Linked DNA regions of Saccharomyces cerevisiae S288C. The gene in region 2 interacts genetically with the main gene of each other region. Each region holds a gene or a part of one and is shown on either strand. Other genes may lie near its edges.

The links.
Region 1: mutations in EMA19 (region 2) and LIP2 together harm fitness more than expected from each alone (negative genetic interaction), as found in Saccharomyces cerevisiae (2 studies listed by BioGRID).
Region 3: mutations in EMA19 (region 2) and CBT1 together harm fitness more than expected from each alone (negative genetic interaction), as found in Saccharomyces cerevisiae (2 studies listed by BioGRID).

The regions. Positions count from the first base shown.
Region 1 is NC_001144.5:615,832-618,865, reverse strand, and holds LIP2 (lipoyl(octanoyl) transferase LIP2), read left to right. Parts: upstream 1-1,547; coding exon 1,548-2,534; downstream 2,535-3,034. Other genes in the region: phosphatidylinositol 3-kinase VPS34, read right to left, coding at 1-1,333; FAR10 (Far10p), read right to left, coding at 2,675-3,034. UniProt on the Saccharomyces cerevisiae protein: Catalyzes the transfer of endogenously produced octanoic acid from octanoyl-acyl-carrier-protein onto the lipoyl domains of lipoate-dependent enzymes. Lipoyl-ACP can also act as a substrate although octanoyl-ACP is likely to be the physiological substrate.
Region 2 is NC_001144.5:244,508-248,713, reverse strand, and holds EMA19 (Ema19p), read left to right. Parts: upstream 1-2,641; coding exon 2,642-3,127; downstream 3,128-4,206. Other genes in the region: NRS1 (Nrs1p), read left to right, coding at 288-614; IES3 (Ies3p), read right to left, coding at 761-1,513; FCF2 (Fcf2p), read left to right, coding at 1,737-2,390; MLO50 (Mlo50p), read left to right, coding at 3,542-4,206. UniProt on the Saccharomyces cerevisiae protein: Part of an import route for newly synthesized mitochondrial proteins termed the ER-SURF pathway (ER surface-mediated protein targeting), which retrieves mitochondrial precursor proteins from the ER surface and reroutes them to mitochondria for efficient mitochondrial import.
Region 3 is NC_001143.9:45,214-48,472, forward strand, and holds CBT1 (Cbt1p), read left to right. Parts: upstream 1-1,943; coding exon 1,944-2,759; downstream 2,760-3,259. Other genes in the region: ATP-binding cassette a-factor transporter STE6, read right to left, coding at 1-1,082; ER membrane complex subunit EMC3, read left to right, coding at 2,981-3,259. UniProt on the Saccharomyces cerevisiae protein: Involved in 5'-end processing of mitochondrial COB, 15S rRNA, and RPM1 transcript. May also have a role in 3'-end processing of the COB pre-mRNA.

The sequences.
Region 1 (3,034 bases), 370 kb from region 2:
AATCACCCGAAAGCTTTTGCGAAGATACGGCATCCACAATAGTGAATTCACTGTTAGATTTGTCGGAAAAAGTGGACAGGTTCTCAAAACAGACAGCTTCTACCAACTGTAATAAGTACAATTCCAGCTCCTTGTCTGATGCCTTCTTCAGCCTATTTACGGCGTACGATCTCACTGAAAGGTTTTTAAAAGTTGAGCCTAATAGTTCTAATGCGTCGTCTATATCAATTTCTGCCCATGAGTCCATTAGTTCTAAAACCTCTACTCTTTCCGATTCTTCTCTCAAATTTGTACTCTGTAATAACTTTGTAAGAGCTTTTTTATTGTTCATCAAATAATACCTATATTTCCATATTGAACCCTTTTCATGTGCTGTTAATTTAGTGCCAGGGGGGTAGTTGATGATTTTATTCAAGTAGTCCCTCTTTTTAATGTCCGGCTTCACTTGCTTGTCCAAGTTTGCATTTTTAGATGCTCTTTCCAATCTCCTATACTTTTCCTCTATTGGATCATTGTTTGGTTGGTCAGGATCGTAAAACTTCAATGTGGAGTGATATTTGTCCCCCAAAGAAATTTTGATTTGAGGATCATTCCTATTCGGTTCTCGTAAGTCTGTGCTTAGTCCAGGATTGTTCTTCAAAGTTGGAATATTCATTTGAGTATTCATAATTTCCCTTTCGATGAACACAACAGGAAGCTCTAACATTGGAAATTCTAAGTTTAAGACAAAGGTGCCCTGAGGCCAAGTCCTATTTTCCCGTTGTTTCCTTAATTTGCTTATAGTGATTTCGTCAAGCCAAGGGAGTCTCGTGAATTCACCCTGAAAATATTTATTCAAATTTTCTTGATCTTTGTTATCAGTGACCACTTCACAGTGGTCAATCACATCATAACGAAATTTTAAGGATTCAAACCCTCTTTTTAAAGTACAGTCTTTTAAGTTAAAGATGCTCGTTTCTAGATTGAAAAAGGGAATTTGCTTGGATCCATTGTATTCCCACAAAATAATGCGTAAATGACTGCTAAAGGTAAGCTGTTTGATACGTATGGGCAAAGTCAACCAATAATCCCAGGTTCTAGAGTTTCTGAAAGGAATATACGGCGTGTATATCGGAAGAGTTAAATTTCTGTTTCTCTCTTTATCAAATACCTGTAAGGATACAATTAGATCACTAGAAGGGAATACATTTGACCCTATCAGCATTAATTCAGGGTTCAGGATTTTTTGAGATGGCTTCAACAGTGGCTTATGTCCTTCCAATGACTTGATTTTCACTTTCAGGGGAACATCCAGATCCTGTGAGACACAGAATGTTATGTTGTTCAGTGACATTGTTGGAGTTAAACCCTTCCCTCAATGCTTCACGGAGATGTTATTGTTGTTTTACTTTATCCTTTAATCCTTTTGACTCAAACTTTCTTGAAAAAGTGTTTGATGCCGGATCTGCATATACCGAATGAAGGACTATGTCCACTTATTTAAAACGTTCATATAAAAATTTCATGCACAAAGTCACAATTTAAGATTTGTCGAAAGCTTCAGCCCCATGTCGAGGTGTATTCGCCAGTCCGTATGCACAAACTTCAATGTCTGTAGGCGACAATGCTTTAGCACTTATGCCTCTGCTCTCAAGGAAATGACACATCCTATAAAACCCTCAGCGCAAACGCTCAGACATCTACAATTCACTCAAAGAATACCTTTTCAAAAAGGATTGGAAATACAGGAGACATTAGTTAGGGCAAATTTGGACATCAAAGACATTCAATCGAAGATTGAGAGAAAATTAATACAATTGGATGAAGAATATAAGGGCACTGCAACAATAAATGATAACGAAAAAAGAATATTAGACAAGGTTATGGCAATGAAACCTAATCCGATAATATTAACGTTTGAGTTTGAGCCAACTTATACAGGTGGGAAGAGGATTAAGAAAACTATGACGCCAGATCAGATAGCGGCTTATGAAAGTTTCATTCCAGAAACGCAAAAGGACAACCCACGACCAAAGTTTGTTCAAGTGGAAAGGGGTGGACAAGTAACATTTCATGGTCCAGGCCAAATTGTTATTTACATTATTTTAGATTTGAAAACATTTCAAAGTTTCCCTGCTAAATGCTTGGTTTCATGCATTGAGCAGGCCACTATCAGAACGTTGAAGAATACCAAGATGTGCGACGACACTGACAAGCCTTTGAACTTAGATGCTATGACTACAAAGGACACTGGAGTTTGGGTTGAAAATGGCAAGAAGAAAGTTGCTAGTGTTGGAATACACGTCAGACGTTCCATAACATCGCACGGGGTAGCAATTAATGTTAATACAGATCTATCGTATATGAATAGTTTTGAAATGTGCGGTTTGAAAAATACACTGACTACTTCAATTATGGAACAACGACCCGATGCTGTTGTAAATGTGCAAAGTGTAGCAATTAGTTTTGTCAAAGAAATGACAAAGCTGCTAGGAATAAAAACTTTGGAAAGAATGCAAATTGACGACGTCAATATTTTGAAAAAGAATCCGTGAGACGGATGACTCCCCCCATACTTTCTTAAATGAAAGGATGCTTACCTTTTTTTACATGTGAATATCTATTACATATATACGTACGTATATAATAATCTCTGACGTGAAAAGCGGATCGTGTGTGTCTTGTATTTACGATGCTAGTTGGGGGAAAGGATCTTGAAGACAATAGCTATAATCCCGATGGAAATAGTTCCAAATGTTAATAGTGTGAAATGATTACATAGCGTGTTCTTGATGCTAAATTTGTCAGTACCCTTAGGATTCATGCCCGGGACGCCTCTAGTGTCATGTTCGGTAGTCTTTTTTTTAGATGCAGTTGAGAGTTCTTGTTCTTTCTGTTTGTTCTTCTTCATCATTTGTGAATTCTTATATCGTTCCACTTCTAACCTAGTTTTCAAGTCTTCTATTTCCCTTTCCATGCTTTTTTGCTTTTCATTATTTCTTCTTTTCTTCACTTCAAATGACTTTTTGAAAAACATATGGTCCCTTTCCAACTG
Region 2 (4,206 bases):
TAAAAAAAAAAAATGTGATTGTTAATAAGGGGTGGGATGCGCGAAATTCTATGCCTACAGTAGAAAGCGGTTGTTGCACAAATGATTAAATCTTTATCTCCAACTCACAATACTATCGCGATAGATGCATAATATGTGCAGCTTCTAAACAGCACGGAGTGATGATAAATACGCATATATGTATATATATATGTATGTGCATATGCACGTCCTTTTAAAACTCAAAATACAACATTCTTAGTAAATCCTTTTGTTGACACACGTCGGAACAACTCAGGACGGAGTTAATGGATATGCTTCATAATAAATGTAGTGATGCTATCAAAAGCACCTCCAATAGCAATTTGAGTAATGAGGTAGACAAACAAAAATTGCAATACGATGACCTCGGGAACACCGGATTTTCTGAACTATTTGAGATGGAATCTCAAGATAATAATGATAGCATAGAGGATTTCTTGTTCTTTAATATAAATTTAACCCAGGAGGTTGAGTTCGAGAACCAAAGACAATATGAGCACACGAAAAAGACAAAGAAGCATAACCCATTCTATGTACCGTCAGAGGTAGTGCGAGAGATGGTCAAGAAACACGCATTGAATGGCAGAATATAGTTAAGCCCGATAACACATTCTATTTTTCATGTTTTAATAACGTTTCATATATGAATTTTTCTCAAATATACGATATATACCTAAATGAATATGCATATGGAAGTGAAGTTGGGGATTTTGCAAACTTGTCTTATGTTAATCTTGGCTTAAAGAATGTTTTCCAAAAGGCCGTTCTTATTAATTTTTCTTCTCTTGGTTCTGTTAAATGCTAGTGAATTCGCATTGACGTTCGTTGGTATGGCTACTGCTCCGAATGCGATTGGATGGCTTGCCTTCCTGCCACGATTACTGAACAAATCGAGTTCTACATTTGCATCCAACAGTAGTTCTTTCAATATAAACCACTTTCTTTCTTTCTGTGAAAGTTTTTGGTACTCTTCAAGCAAGTTCTCTTGGATTTTGGTCAGTATATCAATTTTTTCATCATCTGATAAGTCAGGGTCCTCAGTTTCTTGGTCCTGCTCCGCTGCATTTAATGTTACAATTTGGTCATTGACAGCTTGTAAAAAGTTGTCATTCATAGCGTAAAGATTGTCCTTGTACAACCTTGTCTTGAGGGTGCTTATATCTATCTCATCTTGGTTAGCGTTCGTTATTACATTCCCTGGAGAATTCTTTATCATTTCATAGTTCATTTTCGATATGTCATCCACGGCAACAATGTGTCTTTTGAATGTCGTGGTGTTTGTGTGAGTGGAAGCAGTTGAGGCGGCATTTGCATCGGTAGCTGTAGATGGGGTCGAAGAACCTTGTTGATTCAAGCCATCTGCGTTATGAAATTTTTTGTGATGTGGGTCTTTCTCCAAGAAATCTGGAGTTTTGACACTTTTGTAATGTTGAGTAGCTGCATGAGCAAACTGCACCTGTTTATTGGTTGCCAAGAGGTCTTCGAACTTCATTGTTATGATTCCATTGAAGACAGCTATGTCAGTTAACAACGCAATTCCCCCTTTCACACGAAAACCTTTTCTCTAAACATCCTTCTCTTTTATCATAATTCGTGGTTAGTGCCGGCCTAAAAATTTTTCAGCATATTAAAACAGAAGATAGAAAAGAAATAGAAAATGCGATGAGACGTCAAGTTTTCCAATTAAAGAGGACGTGAGAAAGGAGCTGTTAAACATGGATCAAAGTGTGGAAGACTTATTTGGAGCACTAAGAGATGCTAGTGCCAGTCTAGAAGTAAAAAATTCAGCGAAGGAACAAGTTTCTCTTCAACAAGAGGATGTTTTGCAGATAGGCAATAATGATGATGAAGTAGAAATTGAAAGTAAATTTCAAGAGATCGAAACTAATCTTAAGAAGCTTCCTAAGTTAGAAACCGGATTTGATGCTTTAGCAAACAAGAAGAAGAAGAAGAACGTCTTGCCTAGTGTGGAGACAGAAGATAAAAGAAAACCCAACAAGAGCGACAAAAACGATAATGACTGGTTTACCTTACCAAAGCCAGATGATAACATGCGTCGTGAAGTTCAACGAGATTTATTGCTGATTAAACATAGAGCTGCTCTTGATCCAAAGAGACATTATAAGAAGCAACGTTGGGAGGTGCCAGAGAGGTTTGCTATTGGTACCATAATTGAAGACAAGAGTGAGTTTTATAGTAGTCGTATGAACAGGAAGGAAAGAAAGTCGACTATTTTGGAAACACTCATGGGTGATGAAGCTTCTAATAAGTATTTCAAGCGTAAATACAACGAAATTCAGGAGAAATCTACGAGCGGTAGGAAGGCACATTACAAGAAAATGAAAGAGATGAGAAAGAAGCGGAGGTGAGATAATGGAATTTTCTTCGCCACGTATTCCATATAGTATATTGTAAAGTGGTTTAGATTACATAGAAATATTCAAAAGAATTAATAATTTGCATATCGTTTAAAAAAAAAAAACCTTTGAAAACATAGTAAAGAATTATCGGCTTTTGTACAGGATACGAATTAGTAGGTATAAAAGGAACAACCGCAGCAAATAAGTACGAGAAACGAGCCACTCACGTGAAAACATATAGAGAAAAGCGACCGGAGATAATGAAGCTAGGACATCGTGAGCAACAATTCTACTTGTGGTACTTCATCGTTCACATTCCCATCACCATATTCATCGACTCATCAGTGGTTATTCCCGCTAAATGGCAACTAGGGATTGCGCAAAAGGTTGTTAGTGATCACATCGCAAAGCAACACGATTTCCTGCTATCAGAGAAACCAGAATGGCTATACTGGTTTGTAGTCCTTGAGCTAGTTCTGCAACTACCCCTTTTCGTCTATTTCGTCAATAAATTCTGGAATTCAAGCGAATTACAAGTTAATACAAATAGCAGATTGAAAAAGTGGTTGCGTATCTATGGCTGGAATGCCTCTCTAACTACCTTGATATGTATCGTTGTTATTTTCAAGCGTGGTTACATTCCTTACGATGTGCTAAAAACAAGCTTGTCCATGACCCAGAAGTGTCAGTTAGCCTCGGTGTACCTACCTACATTCCTAATTCCTTTGCGTTTGTGTTTTGTGTAGCCTGTGTCGGCTATATATACAGTATTAGTGACTATATAGTTAATTAGTGACATATGCCACTAGTTTTATCTAATTATTGTGCTGCGTTTTGCAGTATTCTTTTTTATTTGAAACGCGTCACAAAAGTTTCGCGTCCTTAGGGAAATGGCTGGTTTTTGTTTTAAAATAGTATATTATCCTTGATGTAATTTAGCAAGAGTGTATTGTAAGGGAACAGTCTGTTACTGCCATTCCCTCATCGCTAGATCCCCCTTCCCTCGCTTATTCCGTTACTTTCGCTTTACTGAGCCATAACCAAGCGCACGCATACATATATATATATATATATATTGTGCTGCACGTATATATAAATAAATCACGCGTACAAGGATACGTTAGCCAAATTCTTTGGATATAACAAAACAGCTACAACTCATGGTTAATAATATCATGCACGAGTACGTACCACCCAGTCAGCGGCTATTCCATAGCAGGCATAGAATAACAAGAAACGATTTGAAAGAAGAGGCCCTACATTCCGGGACCACAGATTGGACAACAATTCTGGACACAACAATAGATAAAGATACTAATCTCATTAGTTATGCTGTCCCCATAATAGACAACTTTGCCATTCCTCGAGCAAACTCTCAGGGGAGTCCTGTGGCCCCTTCGCCGAATCACAGATCAACGATGTACTCTTCTTCATCTTCTTCTGCGTCTTCTGTGTTTTCTGATGGTTTGTTTACTCCAAACAACAACAGGAACTCATCAGGATCATCTTCATTAGTCATTAGACCACAAAAAAATTTGAGTGTAGATTCTTTGATTCAGGAAAATAAAAGGAAAATCAATAGTGAAAAAGAATCGTTATCATTAATTGCCAATAATAACGATGAAACCTTGTGCACTCATACTGATCCATCCATACAAAACCTCATTAAATCGGAAACAAAGAGGAACATCTTAAATTTAAAGTTTCAAAATAGAAACTTATTTCGAAGAGAACTAAAATTGGAAAAGTTTTGGAGCAATTTGAGAAGTTGTCATACATCTGGCGATGAGACGGACCTGCTGTTGGTGATAAGTAAGCATAACTT
Region 3 (3,259 bases), on a different chromosome or scaffold from region 2:
TTAGCAAATGTTAGATCACTGGTGGCATAATCTAGTGGAAATTGGTGGGCTACAGTTTTATTTAAAGGATTTCGCTTGGATCCATCTTTTAATAGAGTCATGATTTTTTCCATAGCCACTCCGCCTTTTTGAAGAACAACTATTTGGTGTAATGTATTATTTAAAGTCGAGCCCAGCATAATGCATGAATGGAAGCAAGTGATTACATCGTTAATGTTCAGCTTGCCCTTTTTGATCATTGCGGAACCAAACCAGAATCCCTGTACAAACATAGTCAACGTCAAAAATCTCAAGATCCCAGCGTTTGCAGCAACAAAAAAGCAACTCTTGATGAAGAAAGTGTTACAATTTAGTATGATTTCCTTGAATTTTTTCCTTTCTAGACGTTGTGTACAATATAATCTCACTAATTGAGCGGCATTCATCGACCATGTAAGTAATTGGGCTGCTTTACTCGTTTCAGAATTCTCCTTCTCTGAATATACATGAATCATTCTGGAAAACACCACTGCAAAAAATGTGATTATTGGAGAGCTGCAAAGAATAATTAAAGTTAATGACCAAGAATAGTAGAATGACGTCCCCAGAAGCGCACATATTGCAACTAAATTCTGGAAAGTTATGGCTGATGCCTCTGCGGAGCTTGATCTTAGCTCTTCCACACATCTGTTGATTTGAGTAAAATCTCCTAACAATTTTTCATTATTGTCGTACCATTCCATTGGCTTTTCCTCCAAATATGCCTCCAATATCTGTGACCGTATTCTAAAGCCTTGTCTCTCGCCGATGTGCATCCAACTTGTTAGAGAAAGCCACATTACTGGCACAGAAGCCGCACCAAGTGCCATTACTGCCATTGACCTCTGTACTAGTTGGGAATACAAACCTTGATGTGACCCATTAGCCACGAAAACTGATAGTAGATCGAACACTCTGCCCGTCAGGATAGAAGTAATTGCCGGCACTAGGCCTGTTGCCACGGTACCTATTATCATTATCATTAACAGCCTGTAGTCATTCCGTATGTTCACGTACCTGAAAATGTGATAGTGTTTTGTAGTCTTAAAACTTAAAAAGTTCATGACGTAGCTTGTTCTTTGTTTCCTAGTGGAATTTTCAGCGGCACTTGAAAGCTCTCTGTGTGAACGTAACAACGGGAGATAGTTCAGCCATATCCAGGTTTATAAGCTCTGGTATTTAAATGATGAACGGCAATAATGCAACAGTTTTCATATCTGAAACAATTGTATATGTGCGAAGCAGCGTGTAAATTTCCCTATTAGGTAATTACATGGCAAAAAAAATAAGAAACTATTTTCTTAAAGTACCTTTACCCTTTGTGGAAAACAATAAATTGTATAGTGGCAGAATAGAGAAAAGAAAAAGGAAAGGAACATATTTGTCAGTGCAAGGACCATCATTGTTTGAAAAAAGAGAGGATATTACTAGTAGGTAATAACAGCTATGTCGCGTTATATATATTATATATAAAAATTAAAAAATAGAAAATAAAATTTCAAATGCCCTCTGTGGGAATTGAACCCACGATCCCCGCATTACGAGTGCGATGCCTTACCACTTGGCCAAAAGGGCTGAGTAATTTTTATACCTGCTAAATTTGTGGCTCCGCTATACTTTACAGATTTATCTATTTTGAAGATGATACATTTAGCAAAAATGACCTTAAAAATGAAGCAGGTGCCATTTGCCTATAGCTTGGAAAAGTAGTAATGGTTATTCAAAAAGTTAGCAGCGAGATCTTTTTTCTATCGCGCGTTAAAACGTTTGAACAGATATATATTATTCAGCCACAACTATCTATATATAATATTTCTTCGATTTTTCGTTTTCTCAAGTTTCGTCTTATTGATTGATCAGAAGTTTACTGCGCTTTTGGGTAAAGAAGCATTAAACAAAGGAGAGAGAAATATTGCAAGGAAAAAATGGTGAGCTATGGAAGTCATAGTAGTGAGGTTTCGAAAGTTCTTAAAACGCCGAAGTTTGTGCTTAGGTATGGAAATGTATCCAGCAAACAACGTTTTGCCCTAAAGCGGAAGATAAATTACAAACTACGTGAAAGCAAATATCAAGAATACTTGAATGAATACAACACCTTCGTGCTTTACGACTGGGAAAACAGTGGCGCTGGTAGTCTTGTCGATTCTTCCTACAATCTCCCCTCTTTATGGAAGGAATTCATAACAGAGGGCATATCTAAAGGAGCAATAAACGACAAACTACCGACAGTCTTTATGAAGAGGAAGTTGACAAACTCAGCGTTGGGTCACTGTTTGGGACTTGATTTCCTGACTGATCCGAGCGAGTCAGAACATGAATACAGGTGCATGTTTCAGACAGTTCAGGACATCCCATCTCTCTCGCAACTGATCTTATTCAACAGCATGCCAAACGTTCCAGTAAGATTGAAATTGCATACCATTGGTATAAATATAAATTTCGGCTGCAAACGTTCCCTGATAAGCAACGGTGGTGATCAAGACACTGAAATGAGCGAAGCAGTCTCTTATATCCAGCCTTTATTGGAAGAATCCTCGAGAATGTACCGCAATTTAAACTACTGGAAGCTGTTAAAAATAGCACGAAATAACAAGAAGGATGAACCGTTGGATCAGAGCACGCGTATCAAGTCGCAAGTTAAGCTTTTACTGAGTCAATTGGCGACGAACCGAATTACCTCACCTTCCGTCACGGATCATGGGGGTCACAACTGGCTCATATTCACCAGAAGACGGTTGTAAACGATAAATATGCCATAAAGATCTGCGAACTGTACATATCCATATATAATGCGTATTATTTGGTGACTATAGCACTGGCTTCCGCCATCTCACTAAGAACGAAGAGGTATAATAAAGCATTGTGATGTTAAAGAATGACGATTAACCAGCATTTACAACAACTTCTCTTCAACAGAATAGACAAAACAACAAGCAGTATTCAACAAGCTAGGGCGCCGCAGATGTTATTAGATGACCAGCTGAAGTATTGGGTCCTGTTACCTATTTCGATTGTCATGGTTTTGACGGGTGTACTCAAACAGTACATCATGACACTTATAACGGGAAGCAGTGCAAATGAAGCACAACCAAGGGTAAAGTTAACTGAATGGCAATATCTACAATGGGCACAATTATTGATTGGAAACGGTGGGAACCTGTCTTCCGATGCATTTGCTGCGAAGAAGGAATTTCTAGTTAAGGATCTCACTGAGGAAAGGCACCTAGCCAAGGCCAAGCAG